7 linked regions of the Ovis aries genome follow. The protein of the gene in region 1 purifies or fractionates together with the protein of each later gene. This does not show direct contact. Links are inferred from orthologs where the notes say so. Each region holds a gene or a part of one and is shown in the gene's direction. Other genes may lie near its edges. The genes, in order: BCL7C, SMARCC1, SMARCE1, ARID2, ACTL6A, SMARCD1 and SMARCD3.

Region 1 (4,344 bases):
AGGAGACCTGTGAGTGTGGGAGTATATTGCCATGAAGAGACAATTGCCAGAATAAAGGAAGAAAGGGATGAACTGGCAGAGGGCACAGCAGGTGAGGCCATCGTACTTATTAACAGAGACTGTTATTGGGTATTTACTGTGTGCAAGCCATTGTTCTAAGAGTTATACACATATTAACTCATTCCCATGTTGTAGTTGAGGAAATAGAGATGTGACTTGTCCAAGGTCACTGGACAAGCAGAGGTAGAATTTTACCCCAGCAGTTTGGCTCCAGAAATGTTGGCATAACCACCTTCCTATACCTTAATCCCTCTGAATATAGTCACTGGAAAACACACAGACACAGTAGCCACACCCTTGAAATACACACACACAGCCACACAAATTTAGCATGTCTGCTGATAAACACAGCTTCAAACAAAATCAACCAAGACATACTCCATTTTAAGTAAACTTTTCATTCAAGTAGGGAAAAGTGCATACCATCATAAGCGTACAGCTCAACGAATTTTCCAAGAGTAAACATGCCCTGGGAATCAGCACCAGATTAAGAAACAGAGCATGACCCGTTCCCAGAACCCTCCTCTTAGCCCCTCCCAGTCCCATGGGTGACCGCCCTCCTGATTTCTCACACCATTAATTGATGTTGTCGGTTCTGAACTTCATGTAAATGAAATCATACAATGTGTACTTCTGTATCCTACTCCTTTCATGAGACTTGTCTCCGTTGTTGGGGGTAGCAGGACCTCAGCCTTCTTGCTGGGTCCTCCACGGTGTAAACAGGCTACAGTTCACTTTCCGCTCCCCTGTCGATGGGTTGTTTCCAGTCTGAGGCTATCACAGAGATATGAACATTCCAGGACAGGCCCCTTGGTGCTCATACCCACGCATTTCTGTCGGCTGTTAACGACCTAGGAGTGGAACTGTTGGATCATAGTTTCGCTGAATAACCGCCAGCTTTTCGAAGTAGTATCTCTACCAATTTACACTCCTCCAGAAATATGAGGGATCTAGTTGCTCTACTTCCTCGCCTCCACTTGGTAGGTTTCGTCGTTTTCATTTTAGCCGTTTTGGTGGGTGAAGAATCAGTTATATGCAGTGTCAGGCACGTAATTGGCACTCAGACTGTTGAATGAATGGATGAAGGGGTAGTAGAACAGTGTAGAACCTGATAGCCTGGCGAGAGAGACACACACCCACACCCACAGCGTCCCAGGGACGTCCCCACGCGCAGCGGTCTCACACGGGACGTTGACCCTCTCTCGCCCCCTGGCGCCCACGTGGCTTGAACGCACGGCCGCAGCCCCGCCGCGCGCGTCCAGTCGCCCAGCTGCCCCCAACCTGCCTCTCGGCGGCGGGCAGGGGGCGCTGCGCGTCCGGGTGCCCCGAGGGGGCGGGCCCGGTTGGGGCGGGGCCGGCCGACTTCCAGGCCTGGGCTCTGGCCGCCCGCGCCGCCCGGCCGCTCCGGGGACGGGCCGGGGCGGGGCGCGGCGGCAGGAAGCGGGGCGGGGACTCGCGGAGGCGTTGGGGGAGCGAGGGAGGGCGCGACCAACTCCCGGAGGGACGACGGGCCGAGAGAGCGGCGCCCCGGCCTGGCGCCGAGCCTGAGCCCGCCGGACGGGAGGCGGCCCAGCCGCGGGCTCGGCCTGGGCCCCAGCCCCGCCAGCATGGCCGGCCGGACCGTGCGGGCCGAGACCCGGAGCCGGGCCAAGGATGACATCAAGAAGGTGATGGCGACCATCGAGAAGGTCCGGAGATGGTGAGCGCTGCCCCGGGGCCAGGGACGGGACCCGATGGGCCACTCCTCCCCCAGATAAGTCTACCCGCGCTTCGCCAGCTGTGCCGCCCAGCTGCGCGCCCGAGCTGCGGGGCTCTGTCTTCCTTCTGGCTACACCCTGGGGTCTACAAAGCGTGTTCCCCAGTCCTGCCCTCCAGAAGCTGGAGCCCCCGTTTACGCCCCGCCCCCTGAAGCTTTGACACTCCTCCCGCGAGTGTGCTGGGGATCTTCATTGCTAAGGTCCCCAGCCGGCCTCAGAGTCCGAGCTCTCCATGTGTATACCCCAGGGGTCTGCAGAGCCGCGACCCCAAGTCACACTCTCTCTAGAAGCAACTCCCCCCCAGCCCCTGCCAATCTGTGCCCTCGGGTCTGCAGGTTTTCTCCCTCTAACTATGTCCTCTTAGCAAAAGTGCCCCTTCCATCAGGGCATCACCCCCACATCTCGGGGTATCCCCAGATGTGTCCCACTCCCGGGGTGGCCCTCCCCTCAGGCCTCTCTGACCCAGTCCCCCCACTATCCCACAGGGAGAAGCGCTGGGTGACTGTGGGCGACACTTCCCTTCGTATCTTCAAGTGGGTGCCAGTGGTGGACCCCCAGGAGGAGGTGAGCAAGTCCCCCCCCCTCCACCCCCGTCCCAGGCCCTTCTTCTGTGTAACCTCGGGCAAGCCCCTCCCCACCCTGGCCTCCACCTCCAGTCTCCACTCAGAGCTCAAATGCAGGAGCACAGACAGATGTTAACAATTAATAGCAACTCCGCCTCTTCCCCTCCCCCCCCATCACCAGACCTCGGTCCCCCGCCGCCCCCACTTCCCGGGTTCAAGACCTAACCCAGCGTGCACAACCCATCACCTCATGCGGGGCCTTCCGCTTCTCTCTGCCTCAGTTTCTTTATTTGCACAGTGGAGGCTTGGCAAGTGCTAACCAGAAAGCTGCCTCTGACCCTTAGCTCTCTAACCCCCAGGAGCGCCGGAGGGCAGGTGGAGGGGCAGAGAGATCCCGAGGCCGGGAGCGGAGGGGCAGAGGCGCCAGTCCCCGAGGGGGCGGCCCTCTCATCCTGCTGGATCTCAATGGTAGGTAGGGATGCTGGGATGTGGGGGGGGCTGTGGGCATTAAGGGAAGGGACTGGGGCCTCAGGCCCAACCCTTTTGGCTTTTTTCCCCCACAGATGAGAACAGTAACCAGAGTTTCCATTCGGAAGGCTCCCTGCAGAAGGGCACGGAGCCCAGCCCTGGGGGCACCCCCCAGCCCAGCCGCCCTGTGTCACCTGCTGGACCACCGGAAGGGGTCCCAGAGGATGCTCAGCCCCCACAGCTGGGCCAGGAGAGAGGTAGGACCAGGCGCCTCGCAGGAGCCCTCTCCACTCCAAAGTGGAAGCCACCAGCTTGCCCCTCTGCCAGCTCTTCCTCCTAAGTTGCCTCCCTGAGTTCTGTGGAAAGTCCCTGCCCTTCCTCTAGGGACTGTCTCTCTCCTTCTCTGGCTTCTTAGCTTCTGTGGACAGCTTATCACTGTCTGAGATTTTCATGTAGATTTAGCTTCGTACTAGTTAAATAGCTTTCTTTCCCCCTCATGTCAGCTTCCTGACTGTTGGGCCCACGTTGACCTTGTTCACTGGTATTATCCTCAGAACACCACGGAACACATAGTAGGTGCTCGATAAGTATTTGCTGGGCCTTCCCTGGTGGCTCAGTCCATTGGGTCTCAAAAGAGTCAGACATGACTGGGTGACTAAACAGCAGCCAGATAGCTCAGCTGGTGAAGACTCCGCCTCCAATGCAGGAGACCTTGGTTGGATTCCTGGGTCGGGAAGATCCCCTGGAGAGGAAATGACAACCTGCTCCAGTATCCTTGCCAGGATAATCTCCTGGACAGACCGGTGGGCTGCAGTCCATGGGATCCCAAAGGGTTGGACATGACTGAACATGCATGCACGATAAAACAATTGTGAAACTCATAAGAGTGATTAATAATAAGTGATAATATAACTGCTCGTATTTACTGAGCTAAGCACTTTCCATGTTTTATCTCATTTAATCTTCACTACACCCTATGAGGGTTATGATCTCTATTTATAGATGAGAAACCAAAACTCATAGAGGTTAAGTAAATTACCTAAGCACACACAGCCAGTGAGCTAGGATCTTGGGCATGAGTCCTCCTCGTGTGTCTTCCCCTAGAGTCAGTCCCCTGTCTGGTCAGATTCACTTCCCGGGTGTGTTTGCCTTCCCCTGCCTCCCCAGCTCTGTCATCTCTCCCGCCCACACCTGGCTCCAGCCTCCGGGATCTTCCCTCCTCCAGTTGTACCCCCACTGAACACAAGTTTGACAAGGTTCTTTTCCTGCTGCAAAGCCTTCAGTGATGCCCTATGACCTTTGACTCCTCAACCTGGCACTCTGGGCCCTTCATGAACTGTCCCCTACTGACCTCATTGTTCCCATCCAAGAACACCCTGATTTGGGCCTATGTTCCATGTCTAGATCATTCCACACACTTTTGTACCTTTACTAATATAAAGACAATAATTCGCATTTATCGAGCACTTACTCTGTGCCAGGCCCCGTGCTAATAG
Region 2 (3,686 bases), on another chromosome or scaffold:
TTAAAAGCTAGACAGATTATTCCAGATTATTGTTCTGTCGATCTTTCAATCCTTTTGGAGGTTAGATGTCTATCTGTATTTAGCACTCTCGGGCAGTGAGTTGATTCCTGTCTTCCTTACCTTAGTACTCTGACTCTCCCTCCACAGGTCAGATACCAGGCCCAGGTTCCATGATGCCTGGGCAGCCCATGCCAGGCCGCATGATGCCCACCGTTGCAGCCAGCATCCACCCCCCTGGGAGTGGCCCCACCCCTCCTGGTATGCCTCCAATCCCAGGAAACATCTTAGGACCCCGGGTACCCCTCACGGCACCTAACGGCATGTGTAAGTACCCAGGTGGGGGGAGGCACTACCCTCGGGACTTTTGGGGAGAGCTGTACACAAGGGAGGCAAGCACCGTTTGTTCCCTCTGGGGTGTGACAGATCCCTGGACAGGATGGCCTGTGAGGGGCGCTTCTGAAACCTGGGCTTTGGTCATTGCGCTTCAGCATCCCTGGTGGACAGGTACCCAGGTGGTGAGCACAGAGTGCTCCCAGTTAGTCAGGAGCCTTCCATAGCCTTCGTGGATGCATTCGTGACACCAAGGGCTCTGGCAAGGCCAAGGGCACACCTCACCCATGCCTGTTTGAGGCTATCTAATTTGAATCTGAGTCGATACACAGAACTACTGGTAGTTATTTTCTGTACAGGAGCCTTTTATGGATTCAGGATTTAAAAGAGGTAAGTGTAAAGAAAAGAATAGAGTCTGGTTTAGGGCAAGAATAATAATAAGTTTTTGTCCAATATATTGGTAGTGGCTGCTTAGACTTAGAAAAGAGTATTCAGGGCTGTGTTGAGAAGGAGTTTGAAGTCTTAGCGGGCTCCATCGAGCGGGCACATATGCTGATGAACAGTGTCTGTGGCAGTGTGCAAAACCAGCTCGGTTTTGCCATGGAACCCTTGTTCTGCTCCAACCCTGGCCTCCAAAGGGGTGCATCAGAGCCTGGCCTGCCCTCTTACCCTGTGGACCATGGTAATGATTCCAAAATGCAGCTGACAGTGGCCATGTACCCCGCCACATCTGTGATCCCAGGTCCTTTTAGAGGAGGACCTGGGTTCTCATGAGGTGGAGTCAGCCCCTGTTTGTTTATAGTAATACAGCTTATAATAAAATGATAATGTATTTATAATACAAAAACATAAAGTAATAATAATGAATTTATAATACAATACAGAGAGCTAGGATGCAGAGGTATTCCTGGCCTCCAGGAGCTTTAGTTGGGAAAATAAAACATGAACAAATGGATAGTAGTGTAGGATTTACCGTAAGTTACACAAGGCTATTGAGTGGCTTGAGCTCACTATAGTTCTCTGGGAGACTTCCTAGGGCCAGGAGACAAGTGCCATCAACACAGGTGCATCTCCTTTCTCATTGGACTCCTAGGAACAAGGACAGATTTAGGTGCACAGAAGAAAGACAGCACTTGAGCCAGGTCAGTACAGGATCATTGTTGAGAAACGAGGGACTTCCTTGGTGGTCCAGTGGCTAATACTGCGCTCCCAGTGCACGGGGCCCGGGTTTGATCCCTGGTCAGGGAACTAGATCCCACATGCTGCAACTAATGATCCTGCATGCAACTAATGCATGATCCTGCAGCTAATGATCCGGTACAACCAAATAAATAAAAAAAACTTTTTTTTTTAAGCGATCTTTGTTGTTACATCAAGGATCAGAGATCATAGTCTAGTGCGTACCTCTTTTCCTAGCCTTGCTGCCCCACAGGCAGTGTAAAAATGTGCTGGCTGACTGGGAGGGTTGACCACGCTGCCATCCCCGTTGCAAACATAATATCATTGGTCTTTACCACTGTCCTGTCCTGCTGATAACACCTGATTTGTATACATGATTCCATCCTGAAGGGCCCTCAGTGCAGTACCTTGAGGGTGTGGAATGTTTGGGGTGCTCCCCATCACTTCCTGCCCCAGATGAATTTCAGGGATCCTGAGCTGCTGATTTGGCTTCAGGGCATTGGGCAGGCCTCATCAGGCAAGTCACTTCCCTCTTCAGGCCTTACTTTGCTCCCCTGAAAGGTGACACTAGGGAGTAAATCGGTGGGCTTCAAAACGCTTTGAAGAGCCTTAGCAATTGGGTGGACACCTCCTGAGGGGAAGGTTGGATGAATTAGCTGGTAAGCAAGGAGGTGCTTTAATTGTTTAATTCGTTTTCATCCCTGGCAAAATCTTGAAGTTTTTAAAACCCTGGATTGAAGTATCTCTATGGTTGCTTTGTACACTAAAGCAGTCAAAGTAGAAATAGGAAAGAGCTCCTTTCCTAATTGTTCCCTTCAGGACCTGACCTAGTTTTGGCCAAAAATTTAAAGACTACAGTTCAGGAGTTGCGGGGCCTCTCCAGGCTATCCAGCTTGTTGGCCGCTGCCTCAAGTCAATCTCTGTGACCCTGGTGGAGACAGTTCATAAAAGCCAGCAGTTTCTGATAGGCAGTTTCGTCCCCAGCTAGGCTAGGCACTCTGAGAGAACGCAAAGAAGACACAGAACTTGTCCAGGAAGGAGCTTATCATTTAACTGAAGAGAGAGAATTAGCAGTGAGAACCATTAAGATAATGATAAAATCAAAATATAATTAAGTTCTGCAAAGGTCTGGAGGGATTGAGAGTGGGGCGGACTCAGACACCTCCGCACCCCCGAGCCGCGTGGGTCAGGGGAGCCACACAGGTGGTGACGTGGAGGTTCAGGTGGACCGCCCCATGTAGCCCTCAGCAGCAGCCGTGCCTCACAGGCCATAAAGAAACTTCCTTTATAAGTCCTGTTTCTCTGCATGGGCTCTTGCCCAGGCCCCTTGTGTTTCCGGCAATGACAAGTTCCTTTTGGATGTGTTTGCAGATCCCCCTCCGCCGCAGCAGCAGCCACCACCTCCAGCACCTGCGGACGGAGGCCCTCCACCTCCCGCTCCTGGCCCACCAGCCTCAGCTGCACCGTAGCCCGAAAGACACAGGGGACGTCCGCGCCCAGTGCCCCCAGCTGGAGTGGGGATGACAAGACTTGTGTTCCTCCGCTTCCTTGGGTTTCTTTCAGGAGTTTTCTTCTCACAGCCCCAAGCACGCACCCTGACTTTTCCCCATTCCTCTTGCCACCCCTCTCCGTGCTCTGACACCTGCTGTGTTAGTCCTCCTCCAGCACTCAAGGGGAAGCCACTGCTGCCAGTGTGCCCTGGTCGCCCTGAAATACCTGGCGTCTCCCTGACCCGCTGTGGGGTATGCTGACAGTGTGTCTGCAGGTCCTGTCAACGTTAGTGGTCTATGTCTGTATCATTTTTTGCTCTCCTGCAGTTTTGTTCTGTTTTTGCTTTGTCTTATGCTTATATGGATAATGCTTTATAATCATTATCACTTTTCTTTTTTTTTCCTTTTGGTCATTATTGCTTTAAAGGAGAGCATCCTAAGTTAATAGGAACCAAAAAATATTGATGGGCAGAGGGGATAGCCAGAGGGGACAAACCTTAAGGCATTGTAAGTGACCTTATTTCTGCTTATCTGAGCTAAGAATGGTGCTGATGGTGAAGTTTCATGAGACTTTTGCCACACATGGACGCACCAAAATTTAAAGAGATGGGGAAAAGTGACCCCCCCCAATGTTATCCTTAGTGAGGACCATGAGAGCCTCCAGCCTGCCTGGCAGAACACCCCCTT
Region 3 (4,241 bases), on another chromosome or scaffold:
TTTCACTAATCTCTAATCATGAACATGAAAATATTGGAGGTGGAAGAACTGGACAGAGGGTCACTTGTCCCTGGCTTTGCATACTTCTGGAGATACCCTAGTCCCTGCTGGCACACCCAGGATGGTGGCTAAGGGTAGCTGAAGAATCAAGTCATTCTAAACGTCAACACCATTCTCAAGTGATTTCAGATCCTTCCCCTCTCTGCAGTGGCGCACGTCGGTCAAGTGTTTATGTATCCAAGGAGAGGCTGCTATCTAGTACATCAACGTGGTCATGATTTAGTGAAAAGAGTCCTGGACTAGACCATAGCCTGCCTCAATATAGATTTACTGAGCTTCTTACAATGGTTCAAGGCCTTACTGGGCACTGGCTATAGGAAGATGACCAATGCAGACCGCTGAATTTTTGCTTTCAAGGCTCTCATAGAGTACTGAGAATAACAAACACAGTCTGATACAATGTATTAGGTAAAGGCCATAATTGTTAATTTGGGAGGAGGAGGGGCGCGTGAGGCAGGGAGTTCCCGGAGGGCATCAGGGACAGAATTTGAGCTGGATCCGGAAGGACAGATGAGTTTAAACCCAAAAGTGAAGGACTGTCGTTCCTGGCAGAGGAAACCGAATGAGCCAAGGCGCTTTAGGACACAGACCCCTTGCCCAGCGCTGCAGGGACACACAACCGGGGGCAAGGAGATTTACATCTCCGGGCCTTGGCTCAGAAACCTGTGACAATTACACCAGCCTTGCGCTTGGGAACAGCTGGGAAGATCTGCGCTGCTTTCGCCAAAGCTCTTGCCCGCGGTTAAGGCAGGAAGCCCTGGGAGGCGCGCAGGAGGACGGAAACTGTAAACCCGGCTCTCCACGCCTCCATCCTCGGCTTGGTGAAGTATATACACTCCAGCTCCCAGAGAAAGAGTCAAGAAAAAGACCGGAAGGGAAAAAAAACCCAGAAACTCTCGGGGGCAGGGACGGGGGGCGTGCGCGGCCTGAGCCCGGCCGGGGTGGTGCGCGGGCCGCGCGGCCACAGAGGTTCCGGGGCTGGCGACCGGGCGCGCTCCCCGCCGCCTTCCGGCCCCGCGCGGGGAAGCTGAGGCCGCGCTCGCGCCCCCCCTCGGCTCAGCCTCGCGCCTCCCGCCGCGCCTCCCGTCCCCGCTCCGGCTCGCTGGGGGCCGCGCGGCCGGGCCTACCCGCGGCCGGGCCACCTCCTCCCTCTCCGGAGTGACGAATCGGCGCCCGGCTGGCAAAGTACTGACTTTCGGGGAGTTTTGAGGAGCGTATGGAGCCTGAAAAAAATCCTTGACTGTGCTAAACACCACCGCGTCCCCACGAGAACGCTTATTTTCCTGAAGAGAGTCGGGTGGGGCCTGGAAAGGAATTAAGAAGAGTGTTGAAAGTGCGAGCGCGGAAGCTCGGGACGCGAGGGGCGGGGCGTGCGCGGGACAAAGGGAAGCGAGGCCGGAGCTGCGGGCGCTTCTTCTGCCCGCGGGTGAGTGTTTCCGACTGGGCCCGGCTGGGTCGGGAGGGTGGAGAGGCGTGGGGTCCCGGCTTGGCTGGGGTTGCTGAGGGTTGCTGGGGTTCAGGCTTGGCCGCGGGACCAGGGCCGGGGGCCGGCTGCGGCCTCTTTGAGGCCTAGCGGAGCGAGGGTGGGGAGAGAGTCCCATCTGGGGCTCCTCTTGGGCGGCCAGAAGTGCCCCTTCCACTAACCCCACGGAAGTGGTCAAGGCGCTTCTGCATGCTCCTCTTCAGTAGAGTAGCTGGTAAAGTGCACCTACACATCAAACCAAACCGAATCGGTCTCAGAGGAAGCCCTTGGGGCAAGCTAAGCCCGTGGTCCTCACCCCCAGGAAGATGGTTTCCCCTTGCCCAGGCAGCGATCTGAGGACTCACGGTGTGGCTTGGAGTGAAAAGCGAAAGCTGGGCAACAGTTTGGCCTGGGTTTGAAACCCAGCTCTGACACTTCCTGACTCTGTGTCTTGAGCCAAGTTACTTATACTGAACGAGACTCCTTTTTTCCCTCTGTAAAATGGCAATAGCAGTACACACCTCGTTGGTAGTGTGACTGTTAAACCAGATGGTGTGAAAGTAGTAAGCCTGTCCCGTATAAGGTATTCAACAAATAACTTCTCCAGGATTTTATGCCAGGCACCGGAGATGCATACAGTGGTGGACAATTGTACGAGATCACTCTTGAAATTTATGGTATAGCAAAAGAGACCAGTAATTTTAGAGTGTTAATAAAATGTGACACACCTGGGAGCTTGTGGCAGATATTATCAGGGCCCCCCACAGCAAGGCCTACTGGATGTTGACAGCCCACCCAAGCTTGAGCAGGAAGGAAATCTGCATTAGACTCTGGTGTCCTGCATGTACCTTAAGGAGAGAGGGAGACCCAGGTTGGGCCATTGAGAAAATAAATGATTTCTTTCTTTCCACACCAGGCCTCTTACTCATAATGCTCCAGAAATGCCCTTAAAATACAAAACAGGAGCAAAAAAAAAATCATGTTTGTTTCTCATAATGTCGGATGAAAATACTCTAGTAGTCATAGAAGTTATTTGCCTTTTTTGTGAAAATGAATGTTCATCTCTTTGTACACATGGTGTGTAATGTATAGTGAGGTAAGGAACAAGTTCACGTGTGTGTGGTCATGTCCTGAGCTAGTGTTACTAGGACTGAAGTTGGTAAAAATTGAGCTAGGTACTGGGACAGCAATAATGAACTAGCTGGTCCCTGTCTCCATTCAGCCCCCATATTAGCAGGTGTAATATGATATTGATCTGTGTAAATTGGAGTACAAATGAGGAAACATTTAATTTTGTACAGATAGGTCCAGAAGTCTCCATTGAGGAGATATATTTTGAGTTGAGCTAAGAAAGATCAATAAGAGTTTTTTCCAGTAGACTCTCGAAATTTATTCCCAGCGGTTATGAAGCTGTTTACCATCATGTTGTTTTTTAGTGGCTCAGTTGTGTCTGACTCTTGCGACCCCATGGACTATAGGGTACCAGGCTCCTCTCTCCATGGGATTCCCCAAGGGAGAATACTGGAGTGGGTTCCCATTTCCTTCTCCAGGAGATCTTCCCAACCCCGGGATTGAACTCAAGTCTTCTGCGTTGGCAGGCGGGTTCTTTTACCGCTGAGCCACCAGGGAAGCTCCATTACTCCTATAAGAGAATGTGAAGTTTCTTGTCACACCAGTTACCTTTTCCACTGCCTTCAGGAGTAAAATGCTGTTTTACTAGAAAGAAGTTGTTATCCTAAAAGGAAGGCAGAGCTGTGGCTGGTCATGGAGCTGTCAGTGTCTGGTAGGCCTTGTTGAGGTAGGCCCCAATAATACATCATATTCTTTTGTCATTGTATTTTTACCGATTTGATTAAATGTTTACATGGCATCAGCGAAACGTTTTCCATACAAGAGGTGGCTCAGTATCAAAAAAAAACAAAAACTTGCAAGTACATGTCTAATTTTACTTTTTAATATCCCCTGTCATTTGTTTTAGTCATTTAATTCTGATCAACTGAGTGACCTAAAGAACTAGTAAAATATTTAAAAGGCTTGATTACTAGAAGATAATGTAATTTTACAAAGAAATATCAAACTACCCTATTCTTTAGAAAAACATTCTCTTATGCTTGCTGAGTTTTGATTATCTTTATTTTTCTTTTTTTTTCCTTTTTTTTATTTTAGTGTCTCAGATTCATTCTTAAGGAACTGAGAACTTAATCTTCCAAAATGTCAAGTAAGTTTCATTTTTTATATTTATCAATCTATATTAATAAGAGACTAATGCCCTAGCAAATGGGAATTCCAAAATACTCTCATTTTTTTTTCTTCAAAACAGGACCATTGGTAGTTTTGTTGCATAGTATTATATCTCAGTTGTTTACAAGAAGTTATTTATTTTCTTTCAAACAGAAAGACCATCTTATGCCCCACCTCCCACCCCAGCTCCTGCAACAGTAAGTTTTAATTTTCTTGTTAATGTAATAGCCAAGTCTGGCCTTGATACAAAAACCCAGATGTCTTCCAGTGACAGTCACTCAATCATTACAGCAACAGGATGAAAAATTCAGCTAAAAAACAGCACTTCCTACTAAATAAAATAACTCTGCATCTTACCTTGAACCAACCCCAACATTTAAAGAAACATACTACTGAAATGCCAACCTCCTATGCTCAGTTCTTTTTTTAATTAGAAATAAGTGGCAAGTTTAACACTTTTCTTGTTCATCTCTATTAA
Region 4 (3,686 bases), on another chromosome or scaffold:
TTTTACTCACGCTGTGTCTACCTCGATAACCACGTTCAGGTTTGGCAGGTTAGTCATTTGTTGTCAGTCTGCCTGAACTGTCATGTTAACAGTCTCTTCCTCTCCCTGGTATATTTAGGCAGCCAGCTGTAGGGGGCACAAGCTCAGCTCCTAGAGCACAAAAGGCCATTGTGAATCATCCCAGTGCTGCCCTTATGGCTCTAAGGAGAGGATCAAGAAATCTTGTCTTTCGAGACTTTACAGTAAGTAAGCCTTGGAAGCCTTAACTGTGAAGGTGTGAACACTGTATGATTTAGACCTTTATTCTTTTTCTTTTCTTTTCCTTTTTAAGGATGAAAAAGAGGGACCAATAACTAAACACATCCGACTAACAGCTGCCTTAATATTAAAAAACATTGGTAAATATTCAGAATGTGGTCGCAGGTGAGTAATCTGTTTTCTGTAGTCAGAGTGAATTTTTATTTTACTGTTACCTGTAAGTTTAGATATCTGCATTGTATTCACTGTTTTTCTCATCAATTTTTGGATGTCCAAAAGCTTATGTCAAAGTAGACTGTCGTAGATTCTTAAAAGCCACAAAAGTGGAAGTTGAAACAACCAAAAGGTGTTCTTGAACTTGTTCAAGTTAAATTTCTTGTTCATCATAGCATTTAGAGGAAAAAGTAGGTCTACCAAAGAACACTTGGGAGTTTACTAGGAGGAAAAAGGAATTCGTTACTTGAATCATGTGGAATTAGAATGGAATTCAGTTTGATAATTGCCGTTTTGATGAAACCATCAAAGTCATAGATATGCTAAGATTCTTGGACTTACGAGAAAACTTAGTATTTTATAAATCTATGGAAACTGGAAACAGCTCTAACTCTTGAGAAAGCAAATGTAGATTTGTCTCCTTTGAACCTTGAAAATAATCTTTTAGTATTCTTCCTCCATCTTCAGCTGACTCAACTTGGGCTCGTTAGTTGGGAAGTCATGCTTTAATGCATCTTGCCTTCCAGACAGTGCTTTTCTCTCCTACTTTTTCTCTTCTCACATGCTGTTAATCGAATCTACCTTGGTTCTCCTCCTCCTATTTTACTTTGTGTTGGATCTTAATATTCCTTGTAGTTACATTCCAACTGGACTTTCTGAGCAAAAAAACAGAGGCATCAATTACAAAGAAGCAATTACTTTAATATCAAACTTTAAAACTTAGGTAAATTTAAAGCGAATAAAACTTGTTTAAAAAAAGTGTTTGCAATAACGAAAGTTACTATATTTCATGAATCAAGTATTCCCACAGAGGAATAAGAAAAAATTCTTAACATTCAAATTAAAAATAAAGTTTTTTCAGAAAAGAAATAAGAAGGTTTTGTCACTAGCATCTCCCAATTGCATTTATAGTATCATTTCTTCCTTCCTGTCTCACTATATTTCTCTTCCTACTCCTTCTTTGGCTGCATATCAATTTTAGCCAAATTGAACCGCATGCAGATTCCATCCACCCTAGATGTCTTTCATGTCACACTTTTGTATCTTCCCTGGGTTGAGGCCCATTGAGCATCTGCAAGCCTTCCCTAATCCAGCTCAGACGCTGGCGTCTGTGTGCTGCCTTTCCTGTGCTGTTTTCCTCTTCCTCATTGAGTCTGTGTTTATAACATTTCTGTTTTATAACATTTCATCTTACGTTTTGTAAGTGGGTTTTCATATGGCTTTCCACCCTACTGTATCTCTCAGATCTAATCTCTTGACTCTATTGTCACTTCCACTGTATAATCATAAGGGATTTGATTTAGGCCACACCTGAATGGCCTAGTGGTTTTCTGTACTTTCTTCAATTTAAGTGTAAATTTTGCAATAAGAAGCTCATGATCTGAGCCACAGTCGGTTCCAGGTCTTGTTTTTGCTGACTGTATAGAGCTTCTCCATCTTCAGTATTGACCATCTGGTGACGTCCATATGTAGAGTCATCTCTCGTGTTATTGGAAGAGGGTGTTTGCTATGACCAGTGCTGCATTCTCCTGGCAAAACTTTGTTAGTCTTGGCCCTGCTTCATTTTGTACTCCAAGGGCAAACTTTCCTATTAACTCCAGGTATCTCTTAACTTCCTACTTTCGCATTCCAGTCCCCTATGATAAAGTGGACATCTTTGGTGTTAGTTCTAGGTCTTTTAGGTCTTCAAAGAACTGTTCAGCTTCATCTTTGGCATTAGTGGTTGGGGCATAGGCTTGGATGACTGTGATGTTGAATGGGTTGCCTGGGAAAGGAACTGAGATCATCCTGTCATTTTTGAGACTGCACCCAAGTACTACATTTTGGACTCTCGTTGATTATGGTAATTAGTAGTAATTATGGAGTGATTAAATTACTCCATTTCTTCTAAGGGATTCTTGCCCACAGTAGTAGATATAATAGTCATCTGAATTAAATTCTCCCATTCCAGTCCATTTTAGTTCACTGATAGCTAAAATGTCGATGTTCACTCTCGCCACCTCTTGTTTGACCACATCCAATTTATCTTGATTCATGGACCTAACATTCCAGGTTCCTAACAATATGTTTCTTTACAGCATTGGACTTGACTTTCACCACCAGAAACATCCACAACTGGTCATTGTTTTTGCTTTGGCTCAGCCCCTTTTCTAAAGCTATTTCTCTACTCTTACCCAGTAGCATATTGGACGCCTACTGACTTGAGGGGCTCATCTCTAGTTTCATATCTCTTTGCCTTTTCATATTGTCAATGGGGTTCTAAAGGCAAGAATACTGAAGGAGTTTGTCATTCCCTTCTCCAGTAGACCACGTTTTGTCAGAACTCTCCACCATGACCCAACCATCTAGGGTGGCGGATAAGGGTCATTAAGTTACATAAGGCATCCATGTGATCATTTTGGTTAGTTTTCTGTGATGTGGTTTTCATTCTGGAGGCCATAGGATTGCAATTCTTGCTTCTTCTGTTATGGAGGGTGTGACCAAAGCCATCCCAAAGAAAAAGAAATGCAAGAAAGCAAAATGGTTGTCTGAGGAGGCCCTGCAGTTAGCGGAGAAAAGAAAAGAAGTGAAAGGCAAGGAGAAAGAAGAGAAAGATATGCCCAACTGAATGCAGAGCTTCAAAGAATAATAGGGAGAGATAAGAAAGGCTTCTTAAGTGAACAGTACAAAGAAATAGAGGAAAACAATAGAATGGGAACAACTAGAGATCTCTTCTAAAAGAGAGATACCAAGGGAACATTTCATGCAAAAATGGGCTCAATAAAGGACAGAAATGGAATGGACCTAACAGAAGCAGAAGATATTAAGAAGAGGTGGCAAGATTACACAGAAGAACTGTATAAAAAGGATCTTAACGACTTGGATAACCACAATGGTGGGGTCACTCACCTAGCATCGGATATCCTGGAGTGTGAAGTCAACTGGACCTTAGGAAGCATTGCTACGAACAAAGCTAGTGGAAGTGATAGAATTCCACTGGAACTATTTTAAATCCTAAAAGATAATGCTATTAATGTGCTGCACTCAGTATGCCAGCAAATTTGGAAAACTCAGCAGTGGCCACAGGATGGGAGAAAGTCAGTTTTCATTCCAACCCCAAAGAAAGGCAATGCCAAAGAATGGTCAAACTACCATACAATTGTGCTCATTTCACATGCTAGCAAGATATTGCTCAAAATCCTTCAAGCAAGGCTTCAGCAGTATGTGAATGAAGA
Region 5 (3,686 bases), on another chromosome or scaffold:
AAATAACTGATACAAGTCAAAATACCAGTTGGGTTTTGATGAACCCCAAAGCCTTATGCCAAATGGAGGAAATCAGATGCAAAATTCCACATAATGTGGAATCACTTACTCTAATATGGAATGACCAGGAAAAGCTAATTTATACAGACAGAAAGTAAAGTAGCAGTTGCTTGGGGCTGTGGATATTATGAGAAGTGACTGTTAAAGGGCATACAGTTTCTTTTTGAGGTGATGGAACTATTCTAAAATTATGTTGTAATAAGAGTCACACAACTGTGTAGCTTTACAGAAGAAAATCTCTTCATTGTACACATAAAATTCATGTTATGGAAAATTATATCTCTATAGAACTGCTAAAGAACTGGAAGAATATTTTTTGTTACAAATATTTTATTTCTTATATTATCCTGATACTTGGAATAAATAACTATCTTTTGGATTCAGAAAAAAAAGGACTCAGTACCCATGGTTTTTATTGGTGACTGGTCATGTAGGTACCTTGTGCCCAACATGTTCCAAAACCCCAGACTCCCAGTTTAAACCACACTGTTTGTATAAATGGTTTAGGCACAGTGAACTACTCTTATTTGGGGAAAGTTTTATATCAATGTAGGAAACTGTTTACCAGACAAGTTCCCAGATGCCAGCCAAGGGTCAGCCTTGCAAGCAGGCCTTTCTCAGGTTTGCTGAGTTAACTCTTTCTGCATAGCAAGAGTTTATTAGTTCAAAGTGTTTGAGTATAGATGCTGGTTTAATAAGCAAGTAAGAGTGATTTTAAGACATGGAATTGATTTTTTTTTTTTCCACCCAGAAAGAGTTTGGGAGGTGAAAACAGGATTGAGGGTGAGATTCCTTATGGAAAGTTACTCCGTATTTAACCAGTAGAGGTGCCTATGAAGGGGAATGAGATGAACAGTTAGAGAAGTAGGAGAAAATTCAGGAGAAAACCAAGAAAAGAAAAAACTCGAGAAGAAGTCCAGTGAGTCTCATGTTCTTAACTGTGGCATTGAGATTTATGCTAAGAAGGGGAAAGAGAAGTTAAAGCTATAGAGGAAGTGCCTTGACCAAAATATCCCATTCTGGACTTTCACTGGTCCGCCTGCCAATGCAGGGGACGTGGGTTCAATCCCTGGTCCAGGAAGATGGCACAGGCTGGAGGGCAACTAAGCTCACGTGAAGCAGCTGCTGGAGCCCGTGCACCCTGGAGCGTGCGCTCTGCAGCCGGAGAAACCACGACAGTGAGAAGCCTGAGCACTGCAACTAGAGAGCAGCCCCTGGGGAGCAACGAAGGCCTAGCAGCCCCCAGAAAACAGAGCAGTGAGTTAAACCCATCCTGATAGGCCTATAACAATACTAACATGGTGTACAGATGATGCCATTCTTTGTTGGTCTGTGGCAGAAGAAGTTTGTGAACTCTTGAATCAATGGTGTCAGTAATTTAGAGAGGTTAGGTGAGATTGCAGACGCAAAGGATCCACTGGGCTTACCTGTTGGACGTTCGTTAGTGACTTACGCAAGCAGTCAGTGTAATGTTTTAATGGAAAGCAAATTGAAAACATATTCTTCTTTAAATTTTTTATAATGTTTTTATGTCTTTTTTTCATACAGATTGTTGCTGTTAGCTCCAAATCATGCAATTCTGTTTCCTCTTACAATTTGAATTGTGCTTTGGGCTTTATAGTTAGTACTTAACCGAATACTATTTATTTGGTATTTTAGGTGTGTTAGATACCTTAATTTTATCTGGGTCAGGTCTAGGGGTTACGGTACTGTTGGGGCTGGAGGAGCCATATCTAGAAGACAAAGCTAATGTCTATATGAAGTACTGTTTTATGAGGTAGAGCTGTAAAATAAGTCAGTTCTGTATATTAAAGTATCAGTGCTAAACCATTAGAAACAGTCTCTCAGAAGATGCTGTATTCATCTCCAACTAAGTATTGTTTTCAAGGTATTTATCTTATATTCTAGTTGAAGATTGGGATAGTTTCCAGGCTATTTTGGATCATACCTACAAAATGCATGTCAAATCAGAAGCCAGCCTGCATCCTGTTCTCATGTCAGAAGCACCAGTAAGACAAACTTTTTCAAGTTTTCTAGGTTGTTTTTTTACTCATTTTACTTTTTTTCTTTAAAGAGATATAGAAATTCATATTTTGAAAATGAGGGAAAGGGGGATTCTTTTTTAAATACTCTTACAACTTTTATTATTTCAATAATAAAAATACTCAAAGAACAACAGTAAAGCACCCAGTGGGTTCTGGCAGTTATTTATCTATTTTTTTCCAGGAATTTAATATCTAATTTCCTTTGACTGCTTCCCATTTTGGTTCATGAATTGTCCCTTATCGCTCAAGGGCAGTGTATATCTGCTTTTTTACTCAATCTTAGGAGTGACTAGATTCATTCTTAAGATTTAATACTTCATGTTTATAAGAATCCTGATTACTCTATACTTTGAAAAGTCTGTAGTTTCTAGAATTCATAGCAGCAATTTTACTTTTCAGATAATAAACTTTATTAAATTTATTACAAATACATAGAGATAAATGTTGTAAAGATATTATGAAGATTTTCCATGGTAACTTAATGTTTTACATTTTTGTTAATACAGTACTGAAATGAATTTTGAGATAAATCAGCATTTTAGTTTTTAAACAATAAGTAATTTGCATTTCTTTTTCCCTACTCTCAAGTGGAATACCAGAGCAAAGAGAGAGAAACTGACAGAGCTGATGTTTGAACACTACAACATTCCTGCATTCTTCCTTTGCAAAACTGCCGTTTTGACAGCGTATCCTTGAAAGAGTAATACTCAGCTTCTCTTCATGAGTGACTGTGGTTCTGCTAAAGGTGATGTGCTCAGCAGGAAGACAGGAGTCAGTTCTTGCTTGTCAGAAGTTGAGGGAGTTTTCCCCATTGCTTTTTGGATACCTTTCTTTCAGTATTTCTTACTGGAACTGATGTGCATGAAAGTGTGAGACGGAGATGGGAAATAAACACTCAAATTCTGCTCATTAATTTAACAAAGTTTTTTAAAAATTGTGTTTTTAGAAGGGGAATGTGAAGAGAAGGCCTAGATGAGTTCAAAGAGTGTCATTTCCTTCCTCCTCTCCAATGCCTGAGAAAAGTGGAAGTTGTCTATAAATTCATTTAAGATTTAATCACCAAGTATTTTTTATGAGCATATTAAGGAACAGACAAGGAAATACTATGTCCTGACCTCAAAGAATAATGTAATATTCTTGTTGAAAACTAAATAACATTTAAATAGTACTTCAAAATAGCACTGGCAAAAGTCATAAAGAAGTACATGATTCATCTGAAATTTTCAAATAGCAATTATAGTTCAGTGGAGGAAGATTGAAGCCTGACAAACCTTGTAAAGAAAAGAGAATTTTGAGACTTCCCTGGCAGTCAGTGGTTAAAGACTTCGCACTTCCAGTGCAGGGGACATGAGTTCAATCCTTGATTGGGGAACTAACATCCCGCACGCCATGTAGTGCGCCCGCCACCCCCCTCCCCCCCAAAAAGTGAGGGAATTTAGTTGCAAGGTGAAGGGAAAGGAGTCCTATATTTAGAGTTCAAGTAACAGTGCTGATAAACTGATCTTGATTTAGGTACTTAAAATCAGCCTCACCTTTTATACATTTATCCTGTGTACCTCCCTGGATTGCTATAATATTCAA
Region 6 (3,686 bases), on another chromosome or scaffold:
TAGTGAAAGAAGGCACTTTCTCCTCAGAGCACCATGCCTTCTGGCTCTACATAGTCTTTGCCTTCTTTCCCTTACTCCATATTAACTCCAGTAAAGCTGTCCTTTCGCTAGACCCTGAACCATCATCACTCAGCTGATAGTAATTCCTACAACCCATACGCTGGGTCAGTAGAAGCTAGTTTGTCCTATATTCATGTGGTTAAATTTAGGCCACGTTTTATTTTGTGTGGTGTGTGTTTACTTGAATGTATTTTCAGAGTCAGTTTAAGTTTAATAAGTAAAGATACTGTAGCAGTGGTCTCTTTGTGGGGAAGGAGAAACTTACTTTTCATTGGCTATCTTTTGTACCATTTGACTTTTTACCATTACTACTGAGGCTTATATGCAGTATATTGCACCCAGTTAAAATCTGATGATTTTTGGCTGATGTGCACATCCTATAGCTACCACCGCAGGGAGAGTACAGAGCATTTCTGTCACACCAGCAAGGTCTCTGGTACCCTTTTGCAGTCAACTCCTTGCCCTTCAGTCTAAGACTTATGTAATTAGGTCTTAGGGAACAAGCCCTTTACCAGGCCCCCTTGGTTTCCTCCTCAGTGTTGACCCGAATGATCAGAAGAAGACAGCTTGTTATGACATTGATGTGGAAGTGGATGATACCTTGAAGACCCAGATGAATTCTTTTCTGCTGTCTACTGCCAGCCAGCAGGAGATTGCTACCCTAGACAACAAGGTAGGGACCATGGCCTGGATGGTTGGGTGTCACCAGCCCTCTATCACAGCTTCTTGGCTTCTTTGATTTTTGATATTCGTTCAAAATATGTTGATACCCAATATATGCTGGGCACTCTGGTGCTGGTTGGAGCCAGACGCACATAAGTTCTGATTCTTAACTATATCTCTTAATAGCTTTGAGCCTCAGTTTCTGATCTGTGAAACCATAATGCCTATTTTTCTAAAGTTGTTATGAGGATTAAATGAGACAATGTATGTGAAGACATGACGTTGTATCTGGCACATAAAAACAAATGGCGGCTGCTGCTTCTGTTGTTATTACCGTGAACGTTATTAGACATAGTCCATGCAAGTAAAGCCAGAAAGGCTCTGGGAACACAAAGGAAAACAGAAAGGCTTTCTTGGAAGAGGTGATGCCCCAACCTAATCTTGAAGGACATGGGAGTCAACATGGGAGTTGGACTATAAAGAAAACTAAGCACCAGAGAATTGATGCTTTTGAACTGTGGTGCTGGAGAAGACTCTTGAGAGTCTCTTGGACTGCAAGATCAAACCAGTCAATCCTAAAAGAAATCAGTCCTGAATATTCATTGGAAGGACTGATGCTGAAGCTGAAACTCCCAATACTTTGGCCACCTGATGCGAAGAACTGACTCCTTGGAAAAGACCCTGATGCTGGGAAAGATTGAAGGCAGGAGAAGGGGAAGACAGAGGATGAGATGGCTGGATGGCATCACCGAGTCAATGGACATGAGTTTGAGCAAGCTCTAGGAGTTGGTGATGGACAGGGAGGCCTGGCGTGCTGCAGTCCATGGGGTCGCAAAGAGTCGGACACAACTGAGCGACTGAACTGAACTGATGGGAGTCAAGAAAAGGGGAGAAAGGATGATGGTACTTGAGGGTGTGGGGGGCAGAGGACATTCCAGGAAGAGGGAGCAGGGCATATGCAGGCCCAGAGATGAGCAGAGAACCTGGCATGTTGAAGAAACACCAGCTCTTCACTGTGTTAGATAAAGCTCGGGGTGCCAGGGGGAAGAAATGAGAGGGAAGCAGGAACCTAGTCCTGAAACCGCTTTGAGGCAGGGTAAACTGGTTTATACTTTGTCCTGAAAATGGGAGGGCCTGGTGCTGTTTTATTTAGAATGCTCACTGGCAGGATAGTGGGAGGTGAACTGTAAGGGGGTCAGATCTGGGGGAAGGAAGCCTAGGTGGGGGATGGTGCAATAATGCGCATGATGTATGCTATGGGCCTAACCTTACGGCGCTGATCGTGAGGACGGATGGACGTGAGCAGCTAGGTTTGGGAGGTGTTGAGGTGGAACTGTAGGGATCTGGACACTGGATGGAGAGGTGGGGTGAGGTGTGAGGGAGAAGAGGTGTTATGAAGACCTCCAGGTTTTCAGCTGGAGTGTGCAGTTGTAGTCATTCAGATTGGGAGCAGGAGAAGCAAGCCTTGGGAAAAGGTAGTGCTTTTGTTTTGGGGAGTTTAAGGTGTCTTGAGGTGTCAAGCAGATGCATCAGTAGGAGTGTAGAAAATGGTCTGTGATCTGCAGCCTGGGGACTCGTTACCGTCAGTGGTGCTGGAAGACATACAAGTAGATGAAATTACCAGGAAGAGAGTGGAGCATCAGCGAACAAAACCCACGGACCACAGCTGCAGAGACAGCCCTGTGTACCACTTTTTTTCTACCTGAGAGTTTCCGTTTGTGCTGTGGATTAAAAATTTCCCATGTAGTGTCATCCACAGTGGACATGGTGCAGACTGTAAGGAAAACTTCACACACGGGCGGTGGACAGAGACAGCGCCAAGCGCCAGAGCAGGTGGGGCCCTGGGCAGCAGTGCCATTTGGGGGCTGCATTCTGTTCCTTGGTTGGGAGTGGCACAAGGAGAAGTCATACATTGCCTGCCACTTAACTTTGCTTTTCCCCAACGTGGAAATGTTACGAACTTCCTTTCCTTCTTCCTTTCAGATCCATGAGACAATAGAGACTATCAATCAGCTGAAGACCCAGCGGGAGTTCATGCTGAGCTTTGCCAGAGACCCTCAGGGTTTCATCAACGACTGGCTACAGTCCCAGTGCCGGGACCTCAAGGTAGGGAACCGGGGACAGGTGCAGAGAGACTTGGGCCCAAGAGGCACATGTCTGCTCTGTGTCTGTAGCGTGTGGTGGAGAGCCGGGGAGAGGCGAAGGGCCAGACTTCCTTCAGCGTGTTCTAGTAGGGAAATGGAAATGAAACCGTCAAGTGTTTATCTCGTATTTACTGTGTGCTGTCACTGTGCTCACGTTGTAGGGGATACAGACTGCAAAACTCGGCCCCTGCTTTCAAAGTAGCATCCATTCTGTTTGAGAAACCAGGCTAATGGGATTTTAAAAGTAATAAATCATGTGCGACATTATCAGAATTTCACCGGTACCAATAAGATGAAACAAAGGAGAAGGGAGATTGGTGAGACTAGGATAGCTTGGAAAGGCTTTCTGGAGAATTTGGGATTTGAGAGAGGGGTGCTCTCTGAGAGGAGCTCGCAGAGAGAGGAGCACCGCAGGCTCAGGCAGGAAGGCAGGAGTGAGCACAGTATGTGAGACGCCCTCAGTTCTCGCCTGTCCTGTGCTGACTGCAGCCAGCCTGGCCAGAGGAGCAGGGCACGGGGGTGCCAGGAAGGATCCCTGAACAAGGCAGGGGCTTGTCCACAGCATGAGTGGCTTGGGGTGCTGTTTTAGTGGTTTAGTAAAGTACCACGGCTCCCGTGGCTTAAACAAGGGAAATGGATGGTCTCACAGTTCTGGAGGCTAGAGCCTGAAGTCACAGTGTCAGCAGGGTTTGGCCCCTTCCAAGGGTGGGGAGGGAGAGTCTGTTCCAGGCCTCTCTCCTGGCTTTTAGTCGCTCAGGTGCTTCTTGGTTGGCAGCTGGTGTTCTCCATGTGTGTTCCCCTTGTCTTTCCTCTGTACGT
Region 7 (4,247 bases), on another chromosome or scaffold:
CAACAAATTCCCCAGGGCCCTGTCCTGCCCTCACCTGGGTACGGACAGTGCAGCCCCGGGAGGCATAAACTTGACCCGTCTGGTCTCAAAGCCCCTGGGGCGCTTCCTCCCGGAGGCGGGGAGAAGGGTGTGGCCTCTGGGGCGTGGGCGGGGCCAGTGCTCCCAGCCTGGGGACTCGCAGGGTTCGCCCCTCCTGTTTCCTGTCCCTCCTTCACCCCAGCTCCCTCCACACCACCCTTTCTGGGGCTCCCTCACGGCCCCACCCCTACCCCTGCTTACTTTGGGGTCCAGAGATTGGCCCTACCATACCCAGCGCCCCAGCTCCTGCGGGTCCCCCGCCCCCACCCCCAGCCCATTCCAAAGCCGTCAGGTCGCGCTGGCCTCCGCCTCGCCACCCATCCGTCCACCCCAGTTCCTTGCCTGCCCCCACGCTTCCCTTCCCGTTCTCACGAGCCTGGCCCACCTCCCTCTCTCCGAAATTTCCCCTACTGCCTCGACTTTGTCACAGAGAGACAAAGACTCACATAGCCCGAAATAGACACCCCGAGCGGGGAGACACAGACCGTGTCCAGCCACACACGCACCCGCGCCCGCCCGCGCGCGCGCGCGTACCGGAGGCTGCGGTGGAGGGAGGCACACAGAGGAGGCATTTATCTGTGCACGCACGTAAACATCCACACCCACGGCCGCCGGCCGTGCCCACACCAGGGTGCAGACACACTCAGCGGTGAGACAAGGGCGCACACATCTATGGACTGCAGGGCACACCGCCTCCGGGGCACACCCACCACGGCCGCCCGGTGCCGGAGAAAGGCCTCCTCCGGGCTCGACTCCCGCCCCCCGCCACCACCACCCCCTCCACCCACCCCGGATTCCTTCCCAGCGAAATGTTTCCCTACTTGGCCTGCCAGGTCTCTGGGGAAAAGGGCCTCAGAAATGCGGCAGGAGCCACTTGGGGGCAAAGTTGGAACGGCCTGTTCCCGGCCTGTTCCCTGCCGGCGAATTCCCTAAGCGAAAAACTATTTGCGGCGAGAGAGGCCGGGTGGCCGGCGAGCCCCCCGGCCGCCTCCCCTCGCGTCCCCTCCCCGCGCCGCCGCCGCTGCCGCCGCCTCCCCGCGGCCCTCGGGCGGCCTCGGGCAGGCGGCGCCGCTGCCCAGCGGCCCGGAGCCGCGCTGGCCGGCGAGCCTCGCCGCTTATCTGCGCTGTTTGGGCCCGGCGAAGCTTGGGAAAGGCAGGCTTCTCCGTCCCCGCCGAGTCAACAGGCGGACCCCGGGCCGCCGGACTATTTCTGTCTTATCAGTGCAGGAATGCGGCAGCCGCGGCGGCTGGCGGGCGGCGGCGGCGGCGGCGGCGTGGGCCGTGGGCCGTCAGGGCAGCCCTGAAGGGGCCCCCTCCCCACTCCGCTCGAGTAGAAGTGTGAGAGAGCCCAGCAGGACTCAGAGGGGAGAGTTGGAGGAAAAAAAAAAAAAAAAGGCAGAAAAGGGAAAGAAAGAGCAAGAGAGAGAGAGAGAGAGTGAGAGGCGCCGCTGAGCCCACCCCGATGGCCGCGGACGAAGTTGCCGGAGGGGCGCGCAAAGCCACGAAAAGCAAACTTTTTGAGTTTCTGGTCCATGGGGTGGTGAGTGGGGGAAAAGTTAGCGGGGGAGGGCGAGCGAGCTGGCTCGGGCTGAATGGAGGGAAGGTCGGGAGGGGCCGGGAGGGGGCTCCCGCTCCCCCCACACCCCACCCCACGCCTCTAGCGGGAGCGCCGCGGCCCAGCGGGCCCGGCCCCAGCCCCGTGCCGGCGCGCCCTGGGGGCGCCCGAACACGTCGTCAGGCGGCTTGGCCGGGGATGGGTGCCCCGGGGCGGGGAAGGCAGGCGTTTGCATGGGTTCCTGTCAGGGGCTTGGGGGTAGAACTTGGGGACGGTCTCCCCCAAAGTGGGTGGGTGGGTCCCCTGTGGGGACAACCCGATGGGTTGTCTTCCCTTCTTTCCCTGGTGGAGCCCAGGTGCGACCCCTGCCCTGGGAGTGGGGGGTGGGGGGACTTGGCATCGCTGCGCTGGGCTGCTTGTTCATCAGCTGGGACAGTGTCTCGGGAGCAAGGAGCAGGTGACCCTGGCGGCGCTGTGAGTGGGAAGCTCTGGGGCTGAACCACCTTTGCATCCTGGGCTGAGGGCTCCGGGGCTCTGCCCCTGGCCTCTGCCAATCAGGGCCAGAGAGAGGCCCTCTCTAGGGGCAGACCCCAGGTTAAGGGGTCTGAGGATCCTTTGGCAGCCTCCACCACCAGAAGCTGATGTCCTTAACACCTCAAAGGTGTGAAGGAAGAGCTGGAGTCAGGGACGGGAGGCCTGGAGACCAGAGGGGCAGGTTTAGAAGGCCCACTGGGAGCCTGAGTGAGCCCAGGGAGCCTGAGGGGGTGGGGACGGGTTGGAAGGGCTGTGGCATAGGAGAGGCAGAGGCTCCAGGACTTGGGACGGCCACTGGTGCTGAAGCCGGGCAGAAAGGAAGCAGTCGGGTTTACTATGGCCAAATTTGGTTGTGACCCCAAGGAAGACACGTTCTCAGTAAGAGAGGCCAGAGCCCCTAAAATGTTGGCCCTTTGGGCAGGTCACCCATCCCCGCTGGCCAGCACAGCCTTCTAGGGGCTCTGGAGGCCTCCCTCTTGGGGCCTCCTTAGCAGATCAGTGAGTACCACCAGCCTCATTAAATGGGAGAGCAGCTGATGAGGAAAGGGGCTTTCCCAAAGCAGCCTGTTCTCCAGGCCCATGGGTCCCTAGGCTAACTTCCAAGGGGTCCCCATGTTGGTTAGCCTCATGACCAGCCCTGATCTTGCTGCCTGGGGTGTCCCAATAAAAGGCCCATCTAGGAGTGAGAGAGTGTATACATGTGGATTTTTTTTTAAGTCAACTCACTGCTTCAGTTCTTGGGTGGCCTGAGCCCCACTCCCAGCGCCCTGTCTGTGCTGGCAGGGAGTGGCGGGCCTGGGCTCCATTATGGGCCACCACCCTGGAGGTGTGAGTGACAGGGTCAGGTGGGGTGGGGGAGGCAGACACATGGACAGGCAGGTCTCACTGCTGAGGCTGTGACAGGCAGAGACAGCTGGTTGGCTGGGGGTTAGGGTTAGACACGGCGCGGGCAGGAGGGACCCGGGGGAGGGGGGCAGTGCGAGGAGATTCACTAGGCTCAGGGGCAGGGCGCTTCCCTGTTCTGGGAGCAGCTGCACCCCTGGGGTGGAGTGGGTGGTGCTCAGATAGTATAACAGGGGCACAGGGTCTGTGACCGTGGCTCCCTGATCTCCTTCCTGCTCTCCTGGCCCCCGTCCACATCCTGGCCACCCTCCGCTTGACAGCCCCTTGGGCCCTCCCCAGCCTCTCTTCTGGAATGGGACAAGTGAGGTTTTACGAGTCTGTGGAACACTTCACTCGATGCACTGGGTTGTCATCTGTATCCCAGTTGAGCACCCGGGTAGCAGCAAGGGCGCACACCTGCCTCACCTGCCTCCCCGTGCCCCCTGGGAACCCAGACTTCTGACCTCACTGGGGTAGGGTGGGGAGTAGTTGTAGTCTGTAGGATGGGGCCATCTCTGGTGATTCAGGCAGACAGGAAGGGAGAGATAGATATAAGAGAAAATGTCCATCCTTTTGACCTACCCAAGCCCTCTGGACCACCCATCACCAGTCAAGCCTCATAGCCCCCCTCCCCTCAATGGGAGAATCCTGGTGAGGTCTGACCTCAGCCCCTCAAGCTGCTTCTAGCCCTACCTCCAAGCCTTCACCTTGAGAGTAAATTATGCAGGTGGGCTAATTCAGCCAAGCCCCTGACGGTAGAGGCTGGGAATCAGAGCAAGGGGGCAGGGATTGGGACGGAGGGGCAAAAGCAGGGCCCCAGAGAGGAAAGTGGGTTGAAGGCAGGGAAGGCAGGGAAGGCAGGACCCCCTGGAAATGGACTGGGAAGCAGGCAAACGGGAAGGCAGACGGCAGAAGTCCGGAGCAAGAGAGCCAGCCCTGAACTAAACGAAAGCAGCAGAGAGGGCACAAACCCCGGGCCCCTCAGGAAAGGGCCTTGCATGACCTTGGCTAGGTTGCCTCTCTCCTTGAGCCGCGGTTGCCTCATCCGTCAAGTGGGGATAGAAGGCCCTCAGTCTGTCTTGCAGAGGAGCGTGTGGATAGGAGCATCCTTTGAAAAGGTTGAAAGGCGCCATTAATATTCATCTTCGCGGCACCTTCCGCAAATCCGAGGCTGGCGATGCCCTGTGCAGTTAGTTGC

The links.
Region 2: the proteins of BCL7C (region 1) and SMARCC1 purify together in Homo sapiens (affinity purification with mass spectrometry; 4 studies listed by BioGRID and IntAct, counting the BioPlex papers as one, with this or other methods). This does not show direct contact. The link is inferred for Ovis aries from reciprocal best matches to the Homo sapiens genes BCL7C and SMARCC1.
Region 3: the proteins of BCL7C (region 1) and SMARCE1 purify together in Homo sapiens (affinity purification with mass spectrometry; 5 studies listed by BioGRID and IntAct, counting the BioPlex papers as one, with this or other methods). This does not show direct contact. The link is inferred for Ovis aries from reciprocal best matches to the Homo sapiens genes BCL7C and SMARCE1.
Region 4: the proteins of BCL7C (region 1) and ARID2 purify together in Homo sapiens (affinity purification with mass spectrometry; 3 studies listed by BioGRID and IntAct, counting the BioPlex papers as one, with this or other methods). This does not show direct contact. The link is inferred for Ovis aries from reciprocal best matches to the Homo sapiens genes BCL7C and ARID2.
Region 5: the proteins of BCL7C (region 1) and ACTL6A purify together in Homo sapiens (affinity purification with mass spectrometry; 3 studies listed by BioGRID and IntAct, counting the BioPlex papers as one, with this or other methods). This does not show direct contact. The link is inferred for Ovis aries from reciprocal best matches to the Homo sapiens genes BCL7C and ACTL6A.
Region 6: the proteins of BCL7C (region 1) and SMARCD1 purify together in Homo sapiens (affinity purification with mass spectrometry; 5 studies listed by BioGRID and IntAct, counting the BioPlex papers as one, with this or other methods). This does not show direct contact. The link is inferred for Ovis aries from reciprocal best matches to the Homo sapiens genes BCL7C and SMARCD1.
Region 7: the proteins of BCL7C (region 1) and SMARCD3 purify together in Homo sapiens (affinity purification with mass spectrometry; 3 studies listed by BioGRID and IntAct, counting the BioPlex papers as one, with this or other methods). This does not show direct contact. The link is inferred for Ovis aries from reciprocal best matches to the Homo sapiens genes BCL7C and SMARCD3.

Annotation. Positions count from the first base shown.
Region 1 is NC_056077.1:27,484,541-27,488,884, reverse strand, and holds the start of BCL7C (B-cell CLL/lymphoma 7 protein family member C), read left to right. Parts: upstream 1-1,507; 5' UTR 1,508-1,667; coding exon 1,668-1,759; intron 1,760-2,302; coding exon 2,303-2,381; intron 2,382-2,739; coding exon 2,740-2,848; intron 2,849-2,943; coding exon 2,944-3,105; intron 3,106-4,344. UniProt on the Homo sapiens protein: May play an anti-apoptotic role.
Region 2 is NC_056072.1:52,090,068-52,093,753, forward strand, and holds part of SMARCC1 (SWI/SNF complex subunit SMARCC1), read left to right. Parts: intron 1-147; coding exon 148-324; intron 325-2,880; coding exon 2,881-2,978; 3' UTR 2,979-3,686. UniProt on the Homo sapiens protein: Involved in transcriptional activation and repression of select genes by chromatin remodeling (alteration of DNA-nucleosome topology).
Region 3 is NC_056064.1:40,602,566-40,606,806, reverse strand, and holds the start of SMARCE1 (SWI/SNF-related matrix-associated actin-dependent regulator of chromatin subfamily E member 1), read left to right. Parts: upstream 1-1,441; 5' UTR 1,442-1,486; intron 1,487-3,688; 5' UTR 3,689-3,733; coding exon 3,734-3,740; intron 3,741-3,916; coding exon 3,917-3,960; intron 3,961-4,241. UniProt on the Homo sapiens protein: Involved in transcriptional activation and repression of select genes by chromatin remodeling (alteration of DNA-nucleosome topology).
Region 4 is NC_056056.1:140,602,080-140,605,765, reverse strand, and holds part of ARID2 (AT-rich interactive domain-containing protein 2), read left to right. Parts: intron 1-118; coding exon 119-242; intron 243-331; coding exon 332-423; intron 424-3,686. UniProt on the Homo sapiens protein: Involved in transcriptional activation and repression of select genes by chromatin remodeling (alteration of DNA-nucleosome topology). Required for the stability of the SWI/SNF chromatin remodeling complex SWI/SNF-B (PBAF).
Region 5 is NC_056054.1:208,327,678-208,331,363, reverse strand, and holds part of ACTL6A (actin-like protein 6A), read left to right. Parts: intron 1-1,968; coding exon 1,969-2,069; intron 2,070-2,693; coding exon 2,694-2,791; intron 2,792-3,686.
Region 6 is NC_056056.1:136,217,894-136,221,579, reverse strand, and holds part of SMARCD1 (SWI/SNF-related matrix-associated actin-dependent regulator of chromatin subfamily D member 1), read left to right. Parts: intron 1-597; coding exon 598-733; intron 734-2,706; coding exon 2,707-3,069; 3' UTR 3,070-3,686. UniProt on the Homo sapiens protein: Involved in transcriptional activation and repression of select genes by chromatin remodeling (alteration of DNA-nucleosome topology).
Region 7 is NC_056057.1:115,438,106-115,442,352, reverse strand, and holds the start of SMARCD3 (SWI/SNF-related matrix-associated actin-dependent regulator of chromatin subfamily D member 3), read left to right. Parts: upstream 1-1,410; 5' UTR 1,411-1,540; coding exon 1,541-1,618; intron 1,619-4,247. UniProt on the Homo sapiens protein: Involved in transcriptional activation and repression of select genes by chromatin remodeling (alteration of DNA-nucleosome topology).